3 linked regions of the Notamacropus eugenii genome follow. The protein of the gene in region 2 interacts with the protein of the main gene of each other region in a biochemical or structural test. Links are inferred from orthologs where the notes say so. Each region holds a gene or a part of one and is shown on either strand. Other genes may lie near its edges.

What was found.
Region 1: the proteins of CASK (region 2) and F11R form a complex in vitro, tested with the Homo sapiens proteins (2 studies listed by BioGRID and IntAct, with this or other methods). The link is inferred for Notamacropus eugenii from reciprocal best matches to the Homo sapiens genes CASK and F11R.
Region 3: the proteins of CASK (region 2) and CASKIN1 interact in a biophysical measurement, tested with the Homo sapiens proteins (2 studies listed by IntAct, with this or other methods). The link is inferred for Notamacropus eugenii from reciprocal best matches to the Homo sapiens genes CASK and CASKIN1.

Annotation. Positions count from the first base shown.
Region 1 is NC_092873.1:267,440,015-267,449,757, reverse strand, and holds the start of F11R (junctional adhesion molecule A), read left to right. Parts: upstream 1-5,054; 5' UTR 5,055-5,180; coding exon 5,181-5,238; intron 5,239-9,743. UniProt on the Homo sapiens protein: Seems to play a role in epithelial tight junction formation. Appears early in primordial forms of cell junctions and recruits PARD3.
Region 2 is NC_092876.1:432,454,883-432,464,625, forward strand, and holds the start of CASK (peripheral plasma membrane protein CASK), read left to right. Parts: upstream 1-2,946; 5' UTR 2,947-3,076; coding exon 3,077-3,135; intron 3,136-9,743. UniProt on the Homo sapiens protein: Multidomain scaffolding Mg(2+)-independent protein kinase that catalyzes the phosphotransfer from ATP to proteins such as NRXN1, and plays a role in synaptic transmembrane protein anchoring and ion channel trafficking.
Region 3 is NC_092872.1:47,852,927-47,862,669, forward strand, and holds the start of CASKIN1 (caskin-1), read left to right. Parts: upstream 1-4,976; 5' UTR 4,977-5,032; coding exon 5,033-5,126; intron 5,127-9,301; exon of another isoform or gene 9,302-9,743.

The DNA.
Region 1 (9,743 bases), on a different chromosome or scaffold from region 2:
TTCAGATGAGCTGTTTATCTGTACATCCCCTATCTTGTACTTCAAAGCTGATTTCTTTGAACCTAAGTCTAAGAATTTACATTCATCCCTGTAGAATTTTATCTTAGTGGATTCATTCTAGTCTGTCAAGAGCCTTTAAAAATTTTTGTATCAACAAAAATATACCTTCTTTGTCTTCTACCTCCTCATATGCCTATTGAGAAAGAAAGAAAAAAAAACCTATTACAAAAGCTGGCATATATAGTCCTCTAAAGTGTGCAGTCTGGTTTTCAAATATTATCTCATTTGATCCTGATAAGAAGCCTGGGGGGGGGGGTAGGTGCTAATATTGTCACCCCTCACCCCCCATTTTACAGATGAAGAAACTGAAGCTGACAGAAAGGTTAAGTGTCTTACTCAGGGTCACAAAGCTAGTGAATGTCTGAGGCTGTGTTCAAAATCATGTTTTCTTGAATCTAGGGTCAGCTCTCCAACCACTGTGCCATTCCTGTATTGGGCATGTCCACAAAATATGACTTCATCTGCACCTCTCTGTTATGAAGTGGTTAGTGTGTTTCTTCATGAGTTCTCCAGAGTCATGGCTGGTCATTGCGTTGATGAGATTTTCTAAGTCTCTCAAAGTTGTCTGTCTTTGTAATATTATTGTTATTAATTATTTGTATTGTTTAGGGCAGATAGGTAGTGTGGCAGATAGAGTGCCAGGCCTGGAATTAGGAAGATCTGAGTATAAATCCTATCTTCAGACACTTATTAACTCTATAACCCTTTTGCAAATCATACCATTGGCCGTTTGCCTCAGCTTTCTCAACTGTAAAATAAAGATATCTATCTCACAAGGTTGTAAATGTTTAGCTATATAAATGCTTATTTCCATTTTCCCTACTTAGATTAGTTCAGAAGAAGTTGAATTATCAGCTGTTCCCCAATCCCTTTCCTTTCTTTTGTATAGACTTCTATTTAATAATACTCTGATTACAAGAGATAATTTCCCCCTCCTTTCTCTCCCTTTTTTCCTCCAAGTACATCCCCTCCCCTCTCTTTTCATTCGTCCTTTAAGATAATCAAAATATAATAATCACTTCCAGGCCCTCAGTCTATTTACATCCCACTATGACCCCAGATGAGTTCTGAAAGGATACATATATCATCTCCATATGATTGTTTGCTAATATTTAGCTCTGATTTTCTTGCCTCCCATGTTTGCACTTCGAAGTCTATATGTAGCTCTATTCTTTTCATCAAGTATACTTGGAAGTCTTCTGCTTCATCAAAGATCCCCTGTAACATTACACTTAGTATTGCTGGGTAATTTACTCTTGGTTATGAGCCGATAGCCTTTGCCTTCTGGAATACCATATTCCAAGCTCTCTGCTCCTTTATATTGGCAGTTGCTAAATCATGTGTGATTCTGACAGGTTCCTTGGTACTCAAATTATTTTTTTTCTGGCTGCTTGAAGCATTTTGTTTTCCTTTGATCTGGGCTGGATTTTTATTATAATGTTCCTGGGAGTTTTCATTTTGGGTTTCACAAGGTGAGCAATGGATTCTACTTCTACTTTGTCCTCTGAATCTAAGGGATGAGTCGTTTTCTTTTATGATTTTTTCCAACCTCTTTTTTTGTTTTGTTTTGTTCATGGCTTTCAGGTAGTCCAATGATTCTTAAAGTATCTTTCCTTGATCTGTTTTTCATGTCAGTTGTTTTTACTATGAGATACCTTATATTTTCTTCTATTGTTTCCAGTCTTTTGACTTTGTTTTAAAATTTCTTGTTACTCTCTGGAATCATTGACTTCTATTTAGTCCATTCTAATTTTCAGGAAGTTTGTTGTTTGAGTAAGGCTTTATATATCTCTTTTGCCAAGTTGTTAATTCCTTTTCCAATTCTTTCTTGCATAACTCTCATTTCTTTTCCAGTTTTTCCCTCATTGGTACTCTCATTTCATTTATACAAATCTTTTAAAACTTTTTTTAAAAGACTCTTACTTCATCTCTTTCATGAATTCTAGTTGAACTTGTGCCCGCAACATGTTTTTCTTGAAGGCTTTGCTTGCAGATGTTTGGGAGTTATTCTCTCTGGAGTTGTGTCTTGAGCAACCCAGTAGCTTTTCATGGTGGGACTCTAGTTTTGTTTGCTCATTTGTACAGTCTGTTTCCTGACTTTGGACTTTATGTTTGGGACAAGCTCTGAGGACTTCTAGAGGTAACGTTTGCACTGACCTTTTGTCCTCTAGATTTCTGCTGCTGTCTTTTTGGGGTACTGAGTATTGTGTTATTCCAGGATCTCTGGGGTAGCTCATGCTGGGAACCTGCAAGCTTTCAGTGCTCCCAAACAAGGTCTCATCCTGGGCAAAGCCATCAGACTTCAGCTCTTTAAGTTCTTGACTTAAGTTGGGTCAGATCAACATACTTGTGAACTTGGCCCACACTGAAGTTCCAGTAGACTGCTGCTGAACTCGTTTACTACAAGCCATCTGGAAGACACTGTTGGTTTAGAGTGACAACCTGTAGGCTCCCCTTTGTTCTACGATTCCTTCCCTATTGATTCCTCTATAGATTTCAGACTGGACTAAGACCTGGAACTGAGTCCTCTCTCTTTTCCTAGGATCAGTCACATAGCTTATTTCTGAACAAGCTCCGTGCTCAGTACACAGCCTAGCATCATTCCTGGAGAGACCTTATTTCCAGTGTCAGCAGACTTTCTCTTTTGCCTCACTATGCTGACCTGGGCTGGAGATATTATTCACTTTGACTTTTTCTTGGATTTCCTAATCAGGATTTGGTCTGCTACACTTTCTAGATCTGTTTGGAGGACTTGTGGGGTAAAGCTCAACTCTTCTTCCTTTACTTCCTGCTATCTTGTCATTCCCTGCGTTTTCACTCACTTTCCCCCATGCCTGAAATTCTCTTTCTTTTCCTCCTGTCAAGATCCCTTTGGATCCTGACTCTATCACCCACAATATTTTCTATCTGTCCCAAATTCTGGTCACCTGCAAATTGAATAAGCATATATCATCTGTGCTTGTCCAAATCATTAATGAAAAAAATGTTAAATACCACACGGCCATGGAGAGATCCCTGGTACATTCCACTGAATATATCCTGCCACTTTGGCATGAATCATTAAGTACATTTTGAGTCTGACCTTCAAACTAGTTCTGAAGCTCTCTGTATCTAATCCATCTCTCTATATCCTCCACTGTAACAGTATATAACTGGAAAGAAGATTGGCAGAAATTAGGCATAGACCAACACCTTATACCATATTCCACAATACATTCTAAATAGATACACAACCTTAATATTAAAGATCCTACAATAAAAAAAATTAGAATAGATTACGTACCCCTCACAGCTATATGTAGAACATGTATTCTTAAACGGAGGACAGAGGCAATTAGAAAAGATAAAACGAGAACTTTGATTATACAAAACTGAAATCTGCACAGACTAAACTAATGAATCAGGATAATCAGAGATGCTCTCAAATGGGAAAACATACTTGTATCAGATTTCACTGATAAGGATCTGGTATTCAAAATACCAGATTACCAAATTAACCAAATTAACAAATTAACAAATATAAGACTAATAGCCATTCCCCAATAGATAAGTGGTCAAAGGATAGGAACAAACAGTTCTCAAAAGAAGAATTGCAAAGTATTTACAATCACATGAAAGAATTATCTAAATCACTAATAATAAAAGAAAATCAAATCAAAACAACCCTAAGTTTTTACCTTGCACCCTGCAAATTGGCAAAGATGACAAAAAATGGCAATAGTTAATGTGAGAGGGATTGTAGTATGATAGGCATATTGATGCATTGCTGGCAGAGCTGGGAATCAGCATAATCATTTTGGAAAGCAATTTAGAATTATGTAAATGAATTGTCCATACCTTTTAATCCAAGAAAGCTGTTGATAAAAAAAGGTCATTGATAAGAAAAATGTCCCCACATACGAAAATATCATAGGGGTACTTTTGTGACAGCAAAAAATTGGCTAAAGGAATAGTTAAACAAATTGTCTCAGATTCCTCATTTGTCAAATGGGGTTAGGCTGAATGACCTAGTCTAGGTCCTTCTAGCTCTTAATTTATAATCCTATGGGCCTATGAAGTGCCAGATTGGGGGAAGGTCATGAGACAGGAAAGAATGTAATGATCTGGGTTGGGATTAACAACAAGGAAAGTCACCCTTTTCCTTTGAAAGAGAAGGAAGAAACATATTAAGTAATATAGCATTAGAGCTGAAAGTGGACTTTAGAGATCATCTAGCTGAACTTCCTTATTTTATGGATGAGGAAAGAGAGGCTCTGAAAGTTGAAGTGATTGCGTAAGCTCATACCTCAGATATGTAGGATGAGTCACAGAGAATAATAGAAGAGGGAAGGAGTTGAGAGGGCTGGAATTGTGAGGCTATGATGGCAGGTGAGGTAACCTGGGGAGAGCAATGGGGACAGAGGTGGATTGGGGAGCTTGAGCAGAGAGGTTTGGAAGGAGCCCTGTGAAGAATGTGATAGAATTAATAAGTCATGAACAAAATAATTGCCTTGAATGTAGCAAGAACGACTTAATAGAGGTTATACACAATAGAACTATAACGGAAACACCCTTCCCACAGTCTAACGATTCTCTTCTGCTGTACCTAAGAGGTTCCTGGTATTCAAGAAACATCCGCTACTGGATTCCCAGACTTGGGACTCCTCCCCTGCTTTCTTACCTGAAACCCTATCTAGATTACCCCGCCTCTTCCCAGACCCCAGACGTACTTTCAGTGGTTCATCGTCAACAGGAATACCGTCCAATCACTCAGGTGAGTGGCCCTCACCTGGAGAAGGCTAGGAATTAGTCAGAGGGAGTGACATTGGCCTAAACCAATCAGAAAAGTTTCGGTCTTGGAACTGTTCCAATCCTACCGGGAGTTAGGTGCTGGGTGGGGCTGCACCTGGCTACGGTGAATCACTCAGGAGTCCGAGCAGCTCTCCCTACCAATCAAACTATACAAGGGGCGGAGCGCCAACCAATCGGGAGTGGCGGGAAGTGGGGGGCGGGATTCCACCTGGTGGCTGGGGTTCAGTCTGGGCGCGGCGGTTGGGGAAAAGGCTACTCTTGAGCTTAGTCTGCCTAGAGGAACCTTGGCCAGCGGCGAGGATCTGGCGATCGGATCGGGATTGATCAGGATGGCGGAGCGGGCTGGGCAGAGGCACCTTCTCCTTTTTTTCACAGCGGCGACCCTGTGTGAGTGCTCTGGGTTTTAAGGAGGATAGTTGGAGTAGGATGGGGGTCGGGTGCTCCACCCCTCTCCCGGGCTCGGCCCCCACCTAGGAAAGTGTTTTGGCCCCTCCCCCCATGCATACACAACGTGCTTTCCCCCCATTTGCAGCCCTACTGAGGGCTTTGTGCTATTGTCCCCGGTCTCTGTCTCTCCACTCTGTCTCTCCACTCTGTCTCTCTGTCTCTGTCTCTGTCTGTCTGTCTGTCTCTCTCTCTGTCTCTCTCTGTCTCTCTCTGTCTCTCTCTGTCTCTCTCTGTCTCTCTGTCTCTCTGTCTCTCTCTCTCTCTCTGTCTGTGTGTCTCTCTAGCTCTCTCGTTCTCCTTCCCTCTTCCCTCTCAACACACATACATACAAATGAAATATTTGTAGAGCGCTTGGCACTTAATAGGCGCTATATAAATTCTTATTTCCTTACCCTATTCATAGCTTATATACACAATCCTTTAAGGAATTTTGTCCACTCGCTTATTTTCCCCATACACTTATACAACCTAGAGAGGGGGTTCTATGGCAGAACCACATATAGGAGGAATAGCTCTTAAAATTCATTTTTGTGTCTTCCCACCACCTGGTTGGGGTCACAGTTTATGGTCGGCTGTGGGTTGGGCAGGGAAGGGGGTGAAGATTTCTTTCCTGTTGCCGAGGAGACCTTTTCTTTAGCTACTTGCCTGATTTCACGGGAATGCGCCGTCCCTCCCCCGCTTAGTTCCTTACTATTTGCAAGTCCGTGGTTGTTGCTTCAGGGGGCCATTTATCCCCAAATTGGAGTAAAGTTGAAATTTGGAATGGCTTAAACAGGCGGAACTTCCCTTAGACTCCCCTGTTGCTGTCCTACCTCCGCCAAACTTTTATCTTTGTTGTTGACTAACTGACCATTCCCCTTGGGGAGGGGGGAGTGTTTGTCGATTGGGTGGACTTTTTCCCTACACAGAACAATACTGCCCTTCCTCCACCCCAGGGTCAGGATTTTTGTTTCTTTTTTAAACTCCCTTTCCTCTGGAACAATGGGGAAACGCTTTTGGTGGGCCCTGTGCCCTTAGATATATCCGTCTAGGCTAGCTGTCAGGTTTTTGTATTGGTTAGTCTGTGTTGAAACCTGTTTATGCCTGTATCCATATGTGGAAATGAGTTATATGAATGTTTATCTGTCTTATCTGAGTATATGTGCTTGTGGGGTAAACAGTGTATAGGTTTTGTGTGCCTTTTTTCTTTTCTCATTTTTCCTCTTTTCCCTTTGGTTTCTCTTTTATTTCCCTTTTTTTCTTTCCTTTCTTTTCCTTTTTCTTTGTCCTCTGATTAAACTTTAGAAATTTACTGGCTTTGCTAAGTTCCTTGTGCCATATCTAAGATTCAAGAAGTTGAGCCCTTTCAGACAAAATGTCCTGTCTGAATTACCAGAGGCAATCTGACACTCTAGCCTTCCTTTTTCTCTAGCCAGTGGCTTTAAGGGGTCAAAAGTTAATGAATCCTGGACTCTTCTTTTCTGTCCTCTTCTCTTAATTTCTTTTACATCTCATGGGAATTTCCAGGCGTTTTGACCCAACTTGAGTAGTACTTTATTAGACTACTTCCTAGTCTGGTTAGAGAATGGAGGAATAGATAACCTAGAGAAATGAAAGAAATATAATAAGAAAAGTAATTGTAACGGCTCTTATATTATTGCAAAGAACTGGAAACTAAAGGAGTGCCCATCACTTAAGATATGTGAATATAATGGAATATTATTGTACGTTAGAAATGATAAAAAGGAGAGTTTCAGAGAAACCTGGAAAGTCTTATGTCAGCTGATATAAAGTGAAGTGAGGAGAACTGAGGAACAGAGGAACAGCTGCTGCAGCCTGGGGATCTGCAGGGTAATGGGTGAAGTAAAAGGAACCGAAGATTGATTTAGTAGAGCTGACTTAGGAGTATAGTTGAGTACATGACATAGCATGTTCAGAGGATGGTGAAATTGAATAGTGCTAAGAGGCAGGAGACCAGGGTCCTTAAGTAAATCACTTTTTAACTTTTCTGGATTTACTTCTTATTTGTTTAAAAAAAAAATCTGTATCCTCCCCTACCTCACAAAAGTGGTGGAGATGAAATAAGATAATAGGCATAAATGCAAGATAGTATTATCTGATGATCACTGCCTCAGAATGGAGCACTTTTACTTAGGTGGGCTAGGGTGGAGACTGCCATAACTTTGAGATCGATCTGGGGAGAGCATCATGCGATATTTAATGGATGAAGATGAAGCAGAAGGGAAGTGTATGTTTCTAACTCCTCACTGGTAGGATGTAGAAAGTAGAGTTGCTTTTAGTCTGTTGCTTGACTGTTTCTCTCTTTTGTCTGCTTGAAGCATCTGTAGAGTAGTTCCTCAGACCTGTGTTTCCCCATTCTCTGACCCATCTACCTTTTCTGCTTTAGTGATCAAAGATGAATTCTTTGGAGGTTTCCACAATAAGATATGCTATCTGGATCTAGTGTATGGAAAAGAACAGAGTTCTCTTAGAAGGATATCTCAGAGGGTAAGGAACGGAGTTGAAAGTATAGGCTAATTCAACCAAGGTTTATTAATTGCCTATTATGTATAAGATACTGTACTCGGTACTGGGAATACAACCACCAAAATGTAATAGTCCTCAGGGGCAAGTGGAGAAGATAAATATGCTTGCCCAAGTCTCTTCAATTTTGTGAGTTCTTTGAAATGTAGGGACTGTGATGTTATTTGTATTTGTGACCCTATCACATAGCAGGTGTTTCATAAATGTTTGTCAAATTAAAAGCTGAATCTCAGTCTGGGAAGTTTCTTCATGGCTATTATATGGAGGAAGGCAACCTGCTATTCTCATTTCCTCTGAGGACCAAATTAGAAGGAAAGGCTAGAAATTACAAATAACAGGGAGCTTGGGGACTAGGTATTGGGAAAGAAGGAGGTATGAATTAGCAGAACTAGTGACGAAGTGAGGTGGCTAGAATCTCCTTTCCAGGAGTTTTCTTCACGTAGGAAAGATCCCAACAGACTGGGCTAACCTAGGGGAAGTTCTGCCTAGAAACTGGGTGGGAGAACCTCTAAAGTAGAGGTATAATTCTGCATGGGAGAATGTTTTGTGGCATTTAAGGGATAGTACAGAACAAGGGGCTTGAAAGAACTTGAATTGAAATTCTATGCTAGTTTTGCAGGTCCTGGTTTTCAGTTTCCAGGCATTTCAGGTGGAGTAAGAAGGGCTCTTTGCTGTGTCCCCCTGTTTCCTGTGCTGGATTCGATGTTTTTGGCCTTATTTCCTGAATTCCATGTAATTGTTGTGGAAATGCTTGTTTTTAGGCTACAGTTGGGTTCCCTGGGGATTATTACTGGCTGGCTGTAAGATAAGAGATGTAGTTAACGGTTCATTAACTTCATTGCCCTCCTGTAGCTGGAGATGTGGGGGCCTGTCCTGCTCTGAACTTGTTTCCTTGAGTGGGAGGAGACAGGACACAGATGCCAACTGACAAACTAGGAATGAGGGGTTAGGGAGGTGAGTCAGTTCTCTCCCTCCCTTCATTCTCCCATTCACCTTTGGCCTTTTGAACAGAATTTCGCTCAAAACCTGCAGCAGGCAATAAAAAAGTAAGGAAACATTTACTAATCACCTAATTTATGCCAGGAGCTATCCAAATATTATCTCATTTATTCCTCATTAACAACCTTAGGAAGTAGGTGCTACTATTATCCTCATTTTACAATTGAGTAAAGTAAGACAAACAAGTTAAGTGACTTGCCCAGGGTCACAGAGCTAGCACATCTGTTCAAGGCTGGATTTGAATTCAAGTCTTCCTGACTGTAGGCCCAGCACTCTCCACTGTGCCACATAGCTACCTCAACTAGGAGAACTGAGAAGTGTGTCTTGGAACACATATAATCTTTTCTCTCTTCTTTCTTTCTACTAGCTTGGCTTTTCTTTCCTTTTCCCCCAGCACCTTCATTCTACTTTCTTGTTTCCATTTCCAATACCCCTCATGCTCAGGAACTAGTCCAATTGGCCCCAAATTGGAGGTAGTTTTTTTTTAAATTAATTTTATTTATTTTCAGTGTTCTACAATCAGTACCATATAACTTAGATTTTTTCCCCTCCCCCCAGATGACATGCAGTTTTATATAGGTTCTACACATACATTCCCATTAAATACATTTTCACTAGTCATGCTGTGTAGAAGAATTAAAATGAATGGGAGAAATCATATAACAAAGCAAAATGTAAAACAAAAGAAAATGATCTGCTACATTCTGCGATTGAATTCCTTAGTTCTTTCTCTGGATGTGGAAGGCATTTTGCCTTAAAAGACCACTAGGAATTTTAAGTCCTTGCGTTGCAATGAAGTTCCAAGTCTACAGAAAAAACTCACACTCAGTATCAGATCATATAAGTATTTCCAGGCCTCTCTGAACTCTTCCTGTTCATCTTTTCTTATAGCACAATAGTATTCCATTACATTCATATACCAC
Region 2 (9,743 bases):
AAGATGTAAAAAGTTGTAAGGCTTGTTTTTGTCAATTAGTTTAAGTATTTTACTTTATGCTGTGTACACAACACTATATTTCTTCTAACTCTACCTGGAAGAGAGACTCCGAGATGTATTTGCATAAAGATGGTCATGAGGGGTTTTTTTGTTTGTTTGTTTGTTAGAAGAGATTGTAGATAACTTAGAAAAGAACGGTTTTAGTTGTGAGTAGGCAGGGATAATGAATAGCTGAAACCCTGGGAGACTGAAATGATGGTGCTGCCATTCACAAAAACAGGTGTTTGGAAGACGGGTGAATTTTTGGGCAAAGGTAATATAAACACAACCTACCCATGACTGTTCTGAACTACTCCCTCTTGTTTACCGAAAAATGAAAAGTGGAATGTCTTACTCATCATACATTAGCTGACAGCACAGGTTCACCCCTTGCAATGATGGGATTGGGACAGAGGATAGGAGTATTCCTTGCAAGCAGTATAGGGTGCCTTGGTCAGCTTAGGTAATAACCTTTCTGAAGAGCCCAAGCTTGAGGTAGAAAAACTGGAGACCAAAGGTGGGAGTTAGGATTGGGGAAGGGGTAGAGAAATATTGAAAGCGGCGGGCCAATTGTGGAGAAAAGTCATTAGCTGGCAATGGGGGCATCCTTGGAGTCGTTCTACATCCCTCCACTTTGGAGATCTCAGCAATAGCACAGAATATCATCTATGCAACTTTTGGTTGCTTTCCAGGGACTACTGGACTCTGAATTGAAGCAAAACTATTGCTCTTCTAGGAAAAAGTTGCACTTGCTAATATTATTGGAGTCTTCTGAGATGCGTAAGATGAACGCTTACGGCCAGGATTCTTAATGGAGCAGGTTTGGGGAAGAAAGGAGGAGGGAGAGCTCTGTTTCTTGAGAGAGGGTTCAAGTACATGCACAATGCACAAGCAACATTTGAAAAGAAACTATGTATTTCTCTTTAGCGAATACTGTAGCTGTTACTTTATTACACTAGAGAATTTTACTAGATACTTTGTAGCGCTTGTCACTTAAGAACTGCTTGGGCACTTTTTCTTTGAACGCTGAATGGAGGGGGGAGGGGAGGTCTGTTTGAAGGATGTTTTGCACATTCTGCACGTGTTCAGGGAAGCAGAATTTCCAGGCTGCCTCACGCTAAGAGTTCAGGATACTCACTGCACCTTGTCTGCAATTCCTTAGGCTGCATTTTCTTCCTGGTTCGTGGTGGCCGTGTTGGGTTAGCTTGTTAGGGTTAGAAGGACAAGAAAATGGGAAAGTAAAAAAAAAAAAAAATTCCCACACTTCCCTGCTTTGATCCGAGGGCAAAGCACACTATGACCAGTGTTTGTCAGCACACCCAGGATCACGGGGGAAATACAGCGTGTTGCAAAAGCTATCAAAACTCAAAACTGCGCTAGGACGAACACCCCAAACCTAAGTGGTTTCCCCCTTTAAATGGCTAACACAATTGTTCCGCTGGAAGGAGTCGCATGGGTGGCATGCACAATCTATGTGGCATACCTTTGTCTACAGCTACCCGCTAGCCTTCTAGCGTCCTCCTCCATATGGTTGGACACGAGTCCGCCTTCCCCACCCCCTTCACTTCAGTAAAGAATGACGGGATGGGCCTGAAACCGTCACGGAGGAGCCTTCCTTTCCCATTCACTAAGGACGAAGCTGGAGCGCGGTCCCGCTCCCCGGGGAGCAGAGGGGGCACGGAGCTTCTCTGCAGCCCACAGCACTGCCACCTTCACGCAGGCGGCTGCACGCCGTGCCACTTCTCTCGGGCGACGCAGGGAAGCCAGCCTTCTTCCCTCCCAACCTGCACACGCACCTACAGATCCTCCTCCCCTTCACCCCCCACTCCCCACCCCGCCGTCGTTGCAGGAGCGCCCCCCCAGGCAACTGCACCCTTCCCCCTTCACCGCGCCCCGCCTTTCTCCCCATCCCTTTCCATCCCTTCTCCGCCTCATTTTCCCTCGTTCCCGTTCGCCGTGACGTTTCACCGGCGCGCGCATGCGCCGTGCACTCCCATCCTACTCCCCTTTACTCTCCCGCCGCCACCGCCTCCTGGAGGGGGGGCGGTGAGGGAGGAAAAAAGGGGGCGGGGCCTGGGGTTCTGGAAGCCGCGGCCGCTGTTGCCGCTGCAGCGGCCCGAGAGAGACAGGGAGAGGAGAGGAGAGAGGGAGGCTGGGGTGGGGGAAGGAGAGTACGAGTAGGCGGTGAGGCGTGTGTGTATGTACGTGTGTGTGTGTATGCGGGGGAGTCATCCGCCAGGAGCCTCGGAGGAGCTCGCAGGAGGGGACGTGCGGCGGCGGCTCCTCGCCCGGCTCGGGGACTGAAGAAGGGAGAGCGCCTCGGCGGCCGCCGCCTCCCCCATCGCACCCCGCCCCGGCTCGGCCCCCTCCCCTCGCCCACGGCGCGCGCTCGCTCGCTCACACAGCCCGGGCGCGGCGGCGAGAGGAGGAGGAGGAGGAGGAGGAAGAGGAGAACGAGGGGGGGGGAGCGGCGTCTTTGCCCCCGCCTCCAACCGTGACCGCCGCCCCCCCCCCCCCCGCCGCCGGAGTCCTTCATGGTCCTTCCCCGGCCCCCCCGCTAGCCCGAGGAGCCACCGCCGCCGCCAGGCGGTGGAGAGAGCGGGGCGGGCTGGGAGGCGCCGCCGCCCGCGGACGCCGCAGGGGAAGGTGCGGCCGGGCAGAGGCGGACGAGCGGAGGGGCTGCCGCGGCGGTCGGTCCGGGAGACCGGAAGGAGGCGGCGGCCCCGCGGCCCGGGCTGTGCCGCCGCCGCTCGCGCCGCCGGAGGATCCTTGCTGGCGGTCCCCCGGCCTGGAGGCGAGCAGGAGGGACGAGGACGAGGACGAGGCGGCTGGCTGCAATCCCCCCGAGAGTCCTCCTTGGCCGTCGTCGCCGCAGGTCGTGCCGGACCGAGCGTTCCCGGCTGAGAGGGCGAAGAAGGGAGCCCGCGGAGGGTGGTGGTGAAAAACAAAAAGCACCCACAGAAAAGCAAAGAAACACTGCTGTGGGCGGCGTGACTGTTTCTTGGGCACCCTCTCCGTTTGATTCCCCCCCTGGACCATGGCCGACGACGACGTGCTGTTTGAGGATGTGTACGAGCTGTGCGAGGTGATCGGCAAGTAAGTCCTCCCCTACCTGGGGGGAGGGGAGCGTGCCTGGGAAGAAACGCGTTCGCTGGCGCCCCTGGCCCGCCCCGCCCGCCGCCTCCTCGGGTCATCCCCGTGCGTACCTGAGCCCGGAGCCCGAGCGGGGCCCTGCCACCTCCCTCCCCGGAGGGATCCGATCATTTCATTCCCCCACAGCCCTGCGTGATTTCGGGCTGTTTACATTGTATCTGACGGCTGCCGCACATGGCCTTGGCAGAGCTGACTTGGTAGTCGCTCTCCGGGAGCACTTTGGGTTATCGGTACCACCTCACCTACTCAGGCCACGAGGAGAGGCTGGCATCTTTGTTGGTTGTTGAGTGGGTCGGGGGCGAGCTGGGGCTGGGGGGCCGAAGTGGACGGTTGCTTGGTTTATGGGGCGTGTATCCACCGGACTTGATATACGCCTTTGTGTCCAACCCCAGGACCTTATTGGAGGTGGCCGCTTAAGTCTACCTAGATTAAGGTTCAAAGGAGACCGGATTCGGGTTTTTAATGTCTCGTTATGCAACAATTATTCAAACAAATGTTCATTGCTTCTGTCAAACTGGAGTTTGGATAGTTGTTTTGGCGTGGGAAAGATAGATGTATGCTTTGAGTCACTAGTTTGGTATAGTATACGACAGTGACAGCCAAAGTTCTCATCCTTTTTATCTTGGTTGAGGAATGACACTAGGAAAAAGCCAGGGGATCCAATGAATAACAGTGCTGATGGAGTGTGAAATCTGCAGTCACTCCTTTGGGTTTTTTTTCCATCCTTTAAATTCGTTTTTTAATAGTTCCCCTTATAGACTATCTTAAATGCACAATTCTGTTTAACGAATTTGTGAATGAAATGCTGTTGATTTGAGGTTGGCTTTATTTTAGTTCTGCATGTAATTTGCACATTTAGAAGTTTGAATGGCAAGATGTGAAACTGGCCTCTCTCAGATGAGTTTGACAAGGGTCCTTATTAGCTCATTGCTTTTGGGGGAGAATGCTTTATTGTCTTCTAAGGTCTAGAACTGGGAATGAAGTCTGAGATCCGTTGTTAGAGAAACTACCTTGAACTCGAAGGCATTTTGCAGGGAAAGAACTGAGTCTAACTACCTTAGAGCGGGCTTGAAATCCTGCCTGTGAAGCTGACTATCTGTGTGACCTTGGACGAGTCACTTGAACTTTGTGAGCCTCAGTTTCTTCACCTGTAAAATGAGAGGACTAGACTCTCAGATGGACAGCTCTAGATCTGTGATCCTATGATACTAACTCTTCAGAGTATCAAGAAGAATATTGAAGAAAAAAATGACTTTTTCCTAATCTCTCCATTTCTTAACCCTAGCAAGTACTTGTGGCACTTACCTCTTCACTCTGCCCCTGCAGTTCCCAGTGTCCTTTACCAAGTTGGGTACTTGAAGTTGTAGATTTGCAGATGTGTATTTTATCTGTTTCACTAATTCCTGAGTATGAAAAGTGGGTATGCTGATAATGTTGAGCATAGGTTTAGAAGGGAGGTTCAGATATTGTAATAAACTGTAGTTCCCACATGATGAAATTGTGAGTACACCTTACATATTTTACTCATTGATTACTATGCCTACGTGTTCTTGTTTAACCAACTAGTATATCCTAACGTTCTCCTAACACTGTGGTGCGGTAATTATTTGAAGCTTTAGCAATTTCAGAAAATAGGATATCTTACTAAAAACAGAATGAAAGTATTTTAGGTATACATAGAAAATTCAAGAAATTAAAAAATATAAAATAGTAGTATTACCATTGGAAAGAGTGATCAGAAACCAGTTTTGCTAACTTAATTTTCTTTTCTTTTAGTTAGAATGTGTTGCAATGGAAAGAAGGCTAAATCTGGCTTTGCTTGCTACAAGTGTGACTGTAGACAAATCACTTCCCACTCTGAGCCTCAGTTTCCTTATCTCTTGGATGAGAATTGAACTAGAAGGTCTTTTTCAGCTCAGACAGTCTGTGATCACTGATGATACAAGTTAGGTTAGAGTCTATTTAAAATAGATGATGGAGTCATTTTTGGCAGTCAGTATTTTGATTACTTGAGATTATTTCTGCTTTTCCTCCCCCTCCCTCCAAGCTCAAAGAAAGCTTCAGAACAGTTGAACAAACTGGTCAGTTAATTTTAGACTGGCTTGAGAGGAAAAGCTAGTTTTGAACTGGTACGTTTTGAATCTATCTTAATTCCTCTGAAGAGTCAAATCTTATTGAAATCCATAGAAGACAAAAATCTCATCTGGACTTGGTATTGCAAGAGCGCCATTTATTTTCTTTGATTCCTTTAGTGAATTCTCCTGTGTTTTGAAGACAGCATTTTGAGGAAAGAATGTAGTGATGGTGATTCTTGACCTTTGGAAAGTTTGAGAGGGTTATAAGTAAATCCTTGCAGCATCTATTGAAACTGGCTTAGGGACTGCCTTCTGTAGACACTTGGAAAGCACGTAATTTTTTTTTTTCCTGGGATGTGTTGAACTGTGGATTGAAAAACCTTGAAGAAATTCACAGAGAAGGGGCTTGAAAGCACATCAATATTGTTATCTAGCTACTGTGACAGTCTACAACTTTTGTTTCTCTCCAACTAGTCTTATAAGGTGTTTTGAGTTATGCCATAACTGGCTTTAAGTTCCTGCTGAAAGTACTTTGAAGGAAATAATCTCTTTGGCAAGTCAACAGGGAAACAATTTTATATTTATTCGGTTGTTTAACAAATATCAGTTAATCTTATTTTGTGCAAGACCACACTGTTAGGCGCAGTAAGAAAGTTACACATTTTGATATACTTTGAGCTTGTTTTAGGAGGGTTTGAGTGTTTCCTGTTGAGATTATCCTCTTACAGTTTCTAAAAATGTTAGCTTGCAAGTTCTTTTTCAGTAACTTTGGAATGGGGATAGACTGGAAAACATTTCCTAGGACAAATTTATTTTGGCCTTTATAGTTATTTTGAGTAATTAATCTGTGAGGGAAATACATCCTTACATCAGGACATTTTGAAAATACCTCTGTTTTCTATAGATTACTTACATTTGAAACATTTCTCTAAATTTTAAGAGTCCAATATTATGTTTTGTTGGTTAATACCTTTGAAGAGACAAGAATTAAATTATAATGGTGATTCTTTAACATTTGCAGATTTACTGGTTAAGAAAATATAGTTGTTGCTGGTAAGGGAAGGAATTAAATTGAAGATATTAGAAATTTTTTACATTATTTTATTGTACTTTGTGCAAACTTAATATAAAATAAGCAATGGATACTATTATATATATCATAAGAAAATTTGAAATAATTGTTGGAACGAAGACATAAACTCCCTTGTTTATAGTTGTTTTAAGGGAAGGGGAACAACAAAATACACATAATTTTCACCCTTATTGATGGTATACCTATGATTGCATTTTGTGAAAATAACAAATTTTTAAATATTAAGTCTTGTTTCATCCCCCATCAGCCCCCCAGAAATGACAACATTGCAGAACAAGAGCAAAGTTAACAATAAAGTTGTAACAAAAATGTTATTGTTCAGGTAGATGATAATATTTTTAAAAGCTTAATATTATTGTGTAATGCTTCATATTTGGGGGAGTTACTGTCTGAAAACAAAAAATGCTTTTTGATTGTAAGTGCTGAATTGAAAAAACCAAGACATGGATTTTACCTTCTGTGGTTTCCTGGATAGTGATAGGCACTCTGCTAAGTTCTAGGGTTACAAAAAAAGGCAAAAAGAGTTCTGCCCTCAGGGAGCTCATATTGTAATGAGGGAAGACCAGGTAAGACCATCTCACACTTAGGAGGTATTTTTGAGATAAATTGGAGCTAACTTTACCCCACAGGGAAAGCACTGGGGCTATGGGTTGGAGAGAGAGAGAACAAGAAGGCGGCTTCTTACGGAAGGTGGCATTTGAGAAGAGTCTTGAAGGGAGCCAGGAGGCAGAGATGAGAAAGGGGAGAGTGTTTCAGCCGTAGGGTATAGTAGCCAGTTAGAAAGTGCAGAGTATGGAAGGTGGAGTGTCATGTTCCAGGAGCTGCAATTAGGCCAGTGTTCCAGATTGTAGAATACAGGGCACTGAAATAAAGTGTAAAAAGGGTCTAAGCTGAGAAGAGTTTTAAAAGCCAAACAGAATTTTCTGTTTGATCTTGGAGGTAATAGGGAACCACTGGAGTTTATTAAATGGAAATGACATGTTCAGATGTATGCTTTAAGATCACTTTGGCAGATGAATGGAGGATGAACTGGAGTGGGAAGAGACTGGAGGCAAGGAGCCAACTAGCTGTCTCTTACAGTATAGTCCAAGTGTGAGGTGATGAGGGCCTGCACCAGGGCAGTGAATCAGAGGAGAGAAGGGGAAATATATGAGATAGAAATGAAAGGACTTGGCAGTAGATTGTTTGGGGTAATTGAGAATGAAGAATCAAAGATGAGTTGCCAGCTGGGATGATTGGGAAGACAAAAATGCCCTCAGTAGCTTGAGGACATTTAAGAGTCAAGGAAAGCATTGGGGGAAAGAAAGATAATGAGTTGTTCTAGATATATAATGAGTTTAAGATGTTTCTAGGATGTCCAATTGGATGCCAATAGGTAGTTGGAGATATGAGCCTGGAGGTCAGGAAAGAGGTAGCTCCATGGATAGAACACTGGACTTGGACTAAGGAAGACCTGAGTTGGAGTTCTGCTTCAGAAACTAGCTTTATGACTGTGGGCAAGTCACTTTATCTGTGTAAGTCTCAGTTTCTTCTTATGTAAACAGGAAATAGTGATAGCTCCTGCCTGATAGGGTGGTTGTGAGGATCAAGAGAGATAACAGGTAAAAGCACTTTGTAAACCTTAATTAAAAGGCAATATATTATTAGAAGTCATTATTAGTATTATAATAATTTTAGATTCTGGCTGGCTTTTCTATACCTTTAATATTCACATTGATTCATTTCATCTAATACTAATATGGAAACTAATGTTCTTAACAGCATAGACCGGGAATTGCTTCTATAACATTTACTAATGAAGATGGTTGTCTGTTGGCACAACTTACTTTAATATGAACTGTTTCATTATTTTAATGTACATTGTTTGCAGTGCAGTATATTAGAGGGGTAGGGTTAAGTTGCTTTATGCTCTTGAAATTCCATCCTTGCAATTCTAGTAATATATTGTAGCAGGGAGTTTATATAAAATTACTATTTATATACATATTAAATACGTTTACTAGTTCAGTGATTCTCAAACTTTTTTGTCTCAGGAACACTTTACACTTAAAAGTTTTGAGGACACCTCTGTGGTTGTAGCTATATTTATATAGGTAGGTAATATCTATAAATATTTACTGTATTAAAATGTTAATAGTATTGTTATGAAAATAGTTTTGACTTTGTGAACCTCTTGAAATGGGGGGGTTCCCTTGACTTTGTGAACTGCTGTATTATGTTATTCATGCTGAGAAAAATCCAACTCTAATAATTTGTCCTAAATAATTTAGATTTCTCATATTGTCTGAAAAAAATGAGTTTCTAATAGCACCCAACTGGGAGTTTTAGGTTACTTTGACATCTTGCCTAGATGTGTTATTAGTTTTTTTATATTAGGAAAGTGGATACCTTTGCCAACTGAATTGTATGTATGGTGGTAATAAATGAAAATTTTTAGAGGTTTTTCACGGGAAACTTTTGGTCCCAGTCCATTTTATAGTTAACAGAGTTAGGTTAGCAAAGTAAAAATACCACTGGCCTTAGTGAAACTTGCTCATAGGCACAGATTAAGTCTAAAGATTAAATGTTCTGTGGAGGTCAAACAACTCTCCATAGAGAAAAGCTGTGTGGTGGTACAGTCATTTAATGTACCATGCACACACGTGAGAGGTGTGTGTGTGTGTATATGTGTGTGTGTGTGTGTGTGTGTGTGTGTGTGTGTGTGTGAGTGTGGATAGACAGATGCTGGGGCCTAAGTTGGGTAACTATAGGGAATACCTGAAGTTGATTTCTGCATATAAATGACCTTTGGGAATCTTTTTCCCATTTTCCTTTTTCAAATGTGCTATAAGCCTTTGATTCCCTTGAGCTGCATATGTTGGCTTGCCTTGTACTCTCTGTCTCTGGCATGCTTAGATTCCAATAATTGTGACCTTTAACTATTGTTAATTCACAAGTTTCCATTCCCTAAACTCCTTAGTAGCTCTCTTTCCCCCTCAATTTTCTTATCTTTCAAATTACTTTACCTGTTGGGTTATTTGTGACCTTTTATTCTCTTAGGTCAATTTTGTTATTTTTTTATTAGATCTATTAAAAAACTCTTGATAGTATGATTGGTATGGAAAAGAATAAGTAAATTCAGTATTGGTTATTTTAATTATGTTAGCCTGGTTCAGCCATGAGTAATTATTATTTTTTTAATTACTTATTTTTAATTTGCCCTCTGTTGAGCAACAAAAAATTCATGGCTTCTTGAAATAGAGTATTCATGGTTTTTTGTTGTTCTGCTTCTTAGGGTGTTAGATGCTTCTTAAGTTAACTCTCTTTAACCTCTTTTCCAGTTCATTTGTTTTTGATAGGAGATACTTTACATTTTTTCAGTCCTTTAATTTTGCTATTTTTTA
Region 3 (9,743 bases), on a different chromosome or scaffold from region 2:
CTTCTCTTCCCCTTCTATACTACTTCACTTGGTGATCTCATCAGCTCCCATGGATTTAATTACCACTCCTATGCTGATGATTCTCAAATCTCCCAGTCTTGCTTTAACCTCTCTGCTGACCTCTAATCTAAAATCTCCAACTGCCTTTCAGACATATTAAGTAGACATATTAAGCTAACTATATCCAGATTTGGTTGCCTGGAATTCTCTCCTTCCTCATCTCCACCTACTGACTTCCCTAGCATCTTTTAAGTTCCATCTAAAACCCTACCTTCTACAGGAAGCCTTTCCCAGACCCCCTTAATGCCAATGCCTTCCCTTTCTTAATTACAGTTTGTTTTGTATATATTTATAGGTTTATAGGTTGTCTTGCCCATTGGATTGTAAGGTCCTTGAGAACAGGGAATGTCTTTTGCTTCTTTTTATATCTCCAGCACTTAGCACACTGCCTGGTGAAGAGTTGTCACTTAATAAATGTTGATTGATTGATGAATTAACAAACAGCCATGACATATTATAAAAGACTACATAGCAACATTCCCAACAAGACTTCATCTCCATCTATAGCCTGTAAGTGATAGGACACCTTCTTCCAAGGCATCCCAATCTGCTTTTGAACAATTCTGCTAACAAAACTTTTCTTTATACCAAGCCAAATGTGTCCCTTTCCCCTCTTACCCATTGTCTCTGCTGTCCAGACAAGCAAGAGAAATCTAATCTCTCCTCTTCATGATAGTTCTTCATATATTTGAAGACTGCTTTCATGTTCCTCCTAACTCTTCATTAGGCCAAACATCCTCAGTTCCTTTACTCAAGTCTTGTATGGAATAATATTAAGTCCCCTTATTGCTTACCTCTGGATGTCCTTTGAAAATTTGGCACTCAGAGTTGGTCAGAATATTTCAGATATGGTCTGATATTGGGGTAGGATACAGGGAGACTATAATTTCCCTCATTCTGGATACAAAAGTTCTCTTAATGTCACCTGATAATAAATCCCTTCTCTGAACTTTTGTGCCAATGTCTCATCATGGCACAGAAGCAACTCTGGTAGAAGTAACATAACAAAAAATATTAGTAGGACAAAGTTTCTAAGAGGTCCTACCAAACTGGAAGGGCTTTTTTGAGTATAGCCCAGAAATGGAATGTATATCTGCTATCTAAGGACTAACCTAACGAAGTTTGGAGAGATTCAACAATATGTTGGTCAGCCATTGAGTCTCATTAAGATTATCTACGTAGGCAATAGTAGGGTTGCATTCTGCCTCAGTAGAGGGGCTATATGTACCCAGTGTGAAATAACAGATTCTTAAAATAATGAAATTAATAGAATAGCTTTTTCCCTCTTATATGTCATACTTTTGACCATTGAGCTTTAGGTACATGAAAACCCCTCGGTCTTGGATGAACATCCCTCTCTCACTATGTTAGGGACCTTCTGACAGCTAACTTACCCCTATTTTTTCTTGAGTTAATCAGGGTTAAGTGATTTGCCCAGGGTCACACAGATAATAGATATCTGAGGCTGGATTTGGACTCAGACCCTTCTGACTTCAGGATTGGTGCTTAAGCCACTGCACCACCTAGCTGCCTCTCTCCACCAATTAAAAAAAATTATATCCCTTCCTATTGCTCTTCTAACTAGTAGATTACTAAAGACCAGCTTCTTTGCTTGCCAAGTCTGGTCTCTGGAGAATTGATCTTTTAAAAAGAACAGAGCAGACTAAATCTTCATCTTTAGGGCAATTTCCCACTATTATGAGATCACTTAGATAGCCTCTGTGAAAGACAAAGATTATGCTGGGACCGTAGGCACTTGTCACTTAGAAGAAGAAACATCTTTTTCTTTACAATTGGGGAAGGTCAGTAGCATGGCAGTGGTATACTGGATGCCAGCTCTTAAATTTTCATTGTAAGCATTTATGCCTCCAAAATCTGCAAACACTATAGACTGGAGCTTGATTTATTGTTTTTTTTAAAATTTTAAACACTTAAGAAAGAGATGGGGAAGATGTTAATAATGCAGATTAAACACAAAAGTGTGCTATAAATCATTTTTTTGGAAAGCTGGTTGTTAAACATTTATCGGCACACCCGTGGACTGACCAGTGGAGCATATAGTTCTCAGCCCAGCTGGACTATGTGGTGACCAGCTTAGAACTGCAAGAAATATGGAAGATCATTTACTCTAATCCTATCACTTTATCAAGTAATTGAGGCCCATAAAGGAGAAGAGACTTTCCCAAGGTCATACAGGTAGTAGAGCAGGGATTTGAACTCAGGACCTCTGGCATAAATCCTGTGTATTTTTCATCACACCAAGATTCTTGACTTGAATGCATATATGCACATATATATATATATTATATGTATATAATCCTCTGTATGGCTGAGCTCTTCTCTAAGGCTTAAGGGTATACATTGGTGGAAGGAGGGGACTTTGGCCAGTTGAACTTTGCACCTTAGGTCCTGCCTCTAGTACTGGAGAGAGCTGTTAGGCAGGGCCCAATGCCTAGTAGAGAAACTTTTTCATTGGAGCAAGTCCTGAAGATTATGGAAAGTGAGAGCAGAGCCACTGCCCCCTGGATTCAGGGAGGGGTGTCTGAGTGGGATCAGGAAGGTGTCCAGAATGAAAGCCAGGGCCAGTCCCAGAGATGTAGAGTCATGACTTGCCCCCAAGATTTTAGAATGGCCTAGGGGAGATGGGCTGGGGTGGAGTGGCCTCAGGGTTGAGAGTAGGGCTGGTATCTTGGGAGAAAAATTGTAGAACAAAGCTAGGGCCCTCTAGGTAGCAGGTCTCTGTAGCATCCCTAGAGGACTGAGCCATTCCCCAGGGTGGGAGAATCCCAGGATGAGGGGGAGGGAGGGCAATGCCTGTGCAAATCACACTGCACATCATGTACTTCTTCTCTCCCTCTACCAAGAGAAATCTGGTTACAGTATGTAAGATGATGAAGGTGGTCTTGGTCTTATTCTTTTGCTTTAGGGCATTTAGGCAGGGGATAACTAGCTTGCCATCATCAGGTAATGGGGCTGCAAGGCTGACCATTTCTAGCTACAGAAGACGTGTATATGATGGTGATGGTGGTGATGGGGTTATCTGCTTGCTATCTGTCCTTGTCAATGCTTCTTGGGTCAAGGGCTAAATTTCCATGTCTCTATCTGGGGATAAACATTCATTTCTCAAGCATGTGTGTTCTTCTGGGGAAAGGGGAAGAGCTAGAGGTGGGGGTAGACGAAGATGAAGATGACCCAGCTCTGCCCCCTGAGGGAACCAAACAATTTAATGCCAGTGATGAAACGAGGACCTTTTTGACCATCATACTCAGAAGAATGTGACACAAACACCCTACGTGTTCTGAGGAGTGAGGGGGAGGTTCAGATGAGGGAGAGAGCATTCCAGTAGGAAGACGGAAGGGGAAAGTATGTTATTATAGTGGGCTTCCTGGAGGAAGTAGTGCCTGAAGTGGGCAACAATTTCAACAATTGAACGTTGGGGTGGGGGAAGGGGCATTCCCGGAGCAGAAAGTGATGTGAACAAAGCCTACAGAACGGGAGACTTGAGGGTGAGAATGAGGAGAGCGTCTGTCCCCAGTTTGGCTGGAGTGTAGATTATGGGAAAGGAGTATTGTGGGGCAAAATTCTAAAGTTAGGGTGACAGCAGATTGTGGAGATCCTTGAATGCTTTGCCAATGTGCTAACGGTAAGCAACGGTAAGCTCCATCAAAATACTGTTAGCAGATGGACTTTCCTGGGTGGTGATGGGGGAGTTTGTGGGTGTGTGTGTGTGTGTGTGTGTCTGATCCGACCCAGCAATGATCCAGGCTCTGACCCCAGCATCCTGGAGCAGACAGATACATAGCTGGGGTGAAGGCTTGAAATCTGGAGTCCTTCAGGACTGTTGTTGGTAACTGTATAAAGGCTCAAAGGGAACTAAAAATTTAGCTGACAGAACCCCAATACCATTTTAGGACAAGACTGCTCATCCCCATTAGGGAGAAGGGGCTGGAAGGAGGAAGATGGGGGTGTATTGTGTTTTCCAGGAAGTGTGAATGTGTAAAAGGCTTCAGGCTGTGAAGGTGCCACTGGGGTTGGGGGCGGGGTGGGGAACAGAGGTTCTCAGAAGGTTCACTGACGCTGAATTTATTATCGGGAGATCCCTCTTCAACACTATCTCTGACACCTTTTCTAACACATCTCTGAGTCTGACATGTCTCTGAGCCTCTGACAATGTCTCAGATCCCTTGACATCACCTCTGAGTTCCTGATACCCATCTCTGGATCTCTGACTGTTCTGAGGCCCCTACATGCTCTGAGACTCTGAGAAGATGTTTGAGCCCCTCCTTCATGCCTTCCCCCCCCCAAAAAAAATATCCTCAGCACCAACCCCTTCCTACTAGGCAGGTTATGGTTTCTCTGAGCACCATGGGAATGTTTTCCCCTACCCCACCCCAGGATGACTCTAGAGGGGGCCTAAGCCCTATCTCAACATGGAAAAACCCCAGGAGATGCTGCAGCTCCAGGACTCATCATCCTGCCCAGGGGTGGAGGTTATGCATCTCCATCCATCTTCTCCAGCAGACACAGACACACAGACAGAATCACAGACGCGCTGGAGGAGAAGGAACCCACTGTGATTAGGGAAGGGGGGAGGGACAAGATGTAGGGAGATGCTTGGGATCCAGGCGTCCTGGAGGCGGCGCCAGGTAACCAGGCTCCCCCAACCCCACTAACCACCCCCCCAACACACACACCCCCTCCGCCCGGGGCCGCAGCAGCCCCTCCCCCCGGCCCCGCCCCCGCCCATCCCCGCCATCCCCCCGCCCCCGGGCCGCCCCCCGCCCGTGACGCGCTCCCCCCTCCCGCCCGTGAGCCGCGGCGAGGATGCTCCGGCGCCGCTGAGCCCGAGCCCGAGCGCGGAGCCGGGGCCGGGGCCGGGGCCGGGGCTGGGGCTGGGGTCGGGAGACTCGGGCCGGGAGCCGGGGTTGGAGCCTGGGCGGAGCGGGACCAGGGCCGGGCGGGCTACCCCGTCATGGGCAAGGACCAGGAGCTGGTGCAGGCGGTAAAGACGGAGGACGTGGGCGCCGTGCAGAGGCTGCTGCAGAGGCCGCGGCCCGGGAAAGCCAGTGAGCGGGGGCGGGGGCGGGGGCGGGGGGGCTTTGGTCTGGGGGCGGAGAAAGGGGGGGTGTCTGGGAAGAGGGTGGGGGGCTTGGGGCAAGAGGGCCCCCGGGGTGGAGATGCATGCCTAGGAGATGCAGGGTCCGGAGGCGATGTTGGGTCTGGGGGCACGCATTGGGAGAATTTGGGGTGTCACGGGAGGCCCTGGTCATCTGTGAGGGCCAGGGGAGCGTGCAAGGTCTGGGAGGGGGTGTAGGTGGGGAGACATGGAACGAAGAGATGCTGGGGGATAGGAATGCAGGGTCTGAGGGGATCCCCAGGGGACCTAGGGGGTGGGGAGATACTGGGGGGTTTCAGTGTCTCGGGGCTCTGGGAGGTGGGGGGGATACAGGCTGAGGGGGGCGGTGTCTTTGGCCCCGCCCCCGGTAGCCCGCCTCCTCTCCCCCCCCCCCACTTTAGCCAGAGGCTGCAGAGAGGCTGGCCTGGGGCCGAGAGAAGGTGGTGGGGGCCAGGCGATGACTCGCCCTCGCCAGGCTCCGGAGGCGCATTTTATTCAACAGCCCAAACCCGCACCTCCCCCTACCCTTCTATGTCGTCCCTCCACCTACCCCCCCCCCATCTCAGCACACATACTCAAGAGGTATACAGAAAGCTACAGGGATACAGAGATAGATGGGCACAGAGAGGGCTAGGACAGACAGATGCAGGGTCACAGGGACTCCAAGACACACAGGTGGACACACATAAGCCAACTGGGCCACCTGGACAGTCCCGCGTGTGTGTGCTCTAGCTTCACATGCTGCCTCTCCCTAGGTGTTTGGGTGGGGAAAGTGAGGGGCAGGGTCCTGCCTCTCTAATTCTCTCTTTCAATTGATGATGAGGGGCTGTCCGTCCTTGTAGCTCCCCAGGGGGACTGGGTTGGGTCTTCTATCTATACTTTCGCGTCATGCTTAATAACAAAGGTTGGAGAAAACTGGGAAGGGGCCACCCTGAGGGTGTGGCTGATGTGACCGTGTGTGTATGTAAGTATGTATGTATGCATGTATATATGTGAGAGAGGTGGCTAAAGGCAGGGGACAGAGGGGAGGGGCTCTGTGGGGAGACATAATCCCATTTCATGGCCCCTCAAGAGAAGGTTTAGGCAATGTTTTACTGATGGGGAAACTGAGGCACAAAGTGGCTGAGTGACCTGTCCAAGGTCGCCCAACTTGGGGCAGAATCAGGATAAGGACTCAGGTGTCTGAGCTACCAGTCTATTCTTGGAGTCTATTTCTCTAGCCTAGGGGGATCTCTTATCAAACAGTCTAGAGAAGCTGAGGATCTCTAAGCACGCAGTGCCCATCTCCTTCTGCTGATATGGGAGGGAGGAAGCTAGCAGAGTAGTGAGGTTAGAACCCTTGGCTGCAGTGAGCTCCCCCTGGGAGGGCCTAGGAGCCTCTGCTCAGCCTCCTGATCCTAACGCTGATCCTGGCTCAGCCGGAGCCTCCCCCAGGAGCAGGAGATGGATGGAGGGGCTGGGAGAGGGCGGGGGAAGGATGGAAGGGGGGAGAGAGATGGGGATAGAAGCCAATTCCTAGAGTGTGTGAGATTATGCCTCCCTCTGCATGTGACTGACTGCGTGTGTGGCTATGGCATGTATATCAAAGTGCATCTGTGTGTGAGCAGTAGTTGGCAATATGTGTGCAGAAGTGTGTCACTGAGTGTTCGTGAACAATTGCAGGTTGTTTATGTGAATCTGTCACTCTGCCCCACCTATTCTCAAGACCTGGGACCAATGTAGGGGGAGGGGTTTCTTGGGAAATGGAGGCAGGAAGCTCCCTCCTCCCCAGGGAATGTCAGGGGCTTGAGGCAGTCTCAGTCCTGGGGGTGAGGGTGGGGAGAGGGAGGCAGTCATCAAGCCCCCAAGGTAGCCAGCCTCTGGTCCAACCCTTGCTTAATGTTTATCCTCTCTGGGGAGTCAGAAGGTGGGATAGAGGTGGGAACTAAGATCCCAAGTCTGATTTTTTTCAGGCTTCCTTAGAATCAGATGGGAGACCAGAATATTGTATGCACTACCCCCCTATACATGGAAAGATAAACACAATTATCCACAGACATATAACTGCCTATATATACACTGACAGACACAGGCAAACACACAGAGACAGACACAAAGTATGAGGAGGTGGGAGCTAGTTAGAGTAAGGGGCTTCTCCCTCTCCCTCAGCATTCATTTCTAATCTCTCTGATCTCTGTCAATTCTTGGTAGCTCTTAAGACACCCCCTCCCCTCAAGGCAGAGTTCTCCCCTGAGGATGATCATGCCTTTTGATCACACATAGGTTCTCTCAGAAGTTTACCTGGCTTAACACCCTCCCCCTCCCAAGGGTCACAAGTCAGATGTCCAACTGGAAAGTCCTGAACTAGAGACAATTTCGGCTCAGAGTCAGAAGAATCTGTTTCTAGGCTCTGTAAGAGCTCAAAGTTAGGTACCGAGACAGAGGGAAAGAGAGACAGGAAGAAATAGTAACAGCAGAGACAGAAACTGGGAGAGACAGAGATGACGCTAGGGACAGGGAGAGACAGTGACAGGGAAAAAGAGACACACAGAGACAAACAGACAGAAACAGAGATAGAGACAGACAGGGACAGGAACCCCAACTCGGTGCTCTGACTCCAAGGGGGCGGGCTTCATAAATCAGAGAGGAGAAACCCCTTCATGAATTAGCACGGTTGCCATGGTGACACTGGCCTGCTTTGGAGTAAGATATATTTTGATTCAGCAAAGTGCAGCTGGAATTTGGGCCCAGGGAGTGGGAGGGTGGGGCCGGGGCAAGGAGTGATGTTCAGTGGGCAGCTCTGGTGCTTGGAGGAAATAGAAATTTTTCCCCACTATAATCAGAAGGCTCTCATGTTTTTCATCATCCCTCTGACTCTACGCTTACCTGGCTTCCCATTTCCACCATTCTCCTTTCTGCACCATCCTCTGATTATCTTTCCCTTGCCCCTGTCTGCTTCCTCCATTATCATCCACCATCCACTTTACCTATCATCCTTTTTCATAATCCCTTCTTATTTCTATCACCAGTTCATACCAGTCTAGCTAGCCTGCCTGAACTGAGTGCCCCATGTACCCAATTTAACATTCTCCTTTGGTATGTGGAGGTGGGACTGGGGGAAGAAATGCTGGCTTTTAGACCTATCATCTTGGGGGATGAAAAAACAAGACAGAAGTGGGGTGATCAGGGGGCTAGGCTGTGGAAGAAGGGCCTCAGTTTGAAGGCTATAGAAACTGAGAGAAAGAAGTTCAGTGTGAACTGGACTGGTCAAACTAGACTTCCCCAGCCTTTCCCCAGCCTTCCTGAAGGAAGTGAGACTTAAGCTGGACCTTGAAGTATGAGTCAGACTTAGATAAGAAAAGATGGAGGGAGAGGGAATTCCAGGTAGAGGGAACTATGACCAAAATTTCAGATGTAATTTTCATAAGTATCCCTGGTGCCCTGACACATAATAGACATTTAATATATAAATGTGGAGGCATCTAGGTAGTACAGTGAATAAAGCACTGGTCCTAGAGTAAGGAGGACCTGAATTAAAATCCAGCCTCAGCTGTATGACCCTGGGCAAGTCACTTAACCCCATTGCCTCAAAAAAACACCAAACAAAATGTTGAACTTTTTTGAATTGAGATAGGTGCAAGTGTCTGGATATCAGTTTTACATATTAGAAGACAGGCTGAAGTGGTCCATGATTTGCCCAAGGTTATATAGAAAGTAAATATTCAGACCGGGATCCAACACAGTTCTCCTGACTTCTGAGACCAAGTCTCTTTATACTATACCACTTGAGTAACTGTATAGAGTGCTGTATTTAAGACTGGGGTTCTGAGGTTAGAGCCCATGAACTTCTAAAGTTCAGTTTTCTCATTTGGAAAATAGGAACCGTAATATTTATATTATCATCTCCACAGAGAAGTAGAATGGAATGGTGGATATAGTGCTGGTCTCAGAGCTAGGAAGACCTGGGTTCCAGTCTTACCTCTGGCACATGCAGGCTTTGTGATACTGGTCAAGTCACTTACCCTTTCTGTGCTTCAGGTAACACACTAAAACTGTAAATTGCACAGAATGTCTCCATCTGCATTTGTAAAGTAAGTTCCCTAATGGAAATTCCTCTTGTGTCTATGGAATTAGACCTGGGGGCCTTATCCCTGTAATCTTGTGCAGTTTAATTCAACAAAACATTCTTATTTTGTCCCTACTGTGTGCAAAGAAAACTTTTTGGATACAAAGGCAAAACACAGATTTACCCCTACTCTCAAGGAGGTTATGCACCATTGAGAGAAATTGTAGAGAGCTATGGAAAAGTGAGTTATTATGTATATGTTTTTGTGAAAGGAAGTACTCTGGGGCCACATTGTAAAGGCCCTTGAATACCAAGTTAAAGAGTTTGGGCTTTATTTAGTAGGCAGTGGGGAGCCACTGAACATGTTTGGAGCTCTGGAGAGATGGGAGCAGAGTGGTACAATGGGAGGATTGACTTGGCACCTCATGCAGCACGCATTGGAAGGGAGAGAAGTGAAAGCTGTTAGGATCATCCAGGAAAGCAATAATGAAGGCTTCTTCTAGGGCGGTGGTTAGGTGAGTG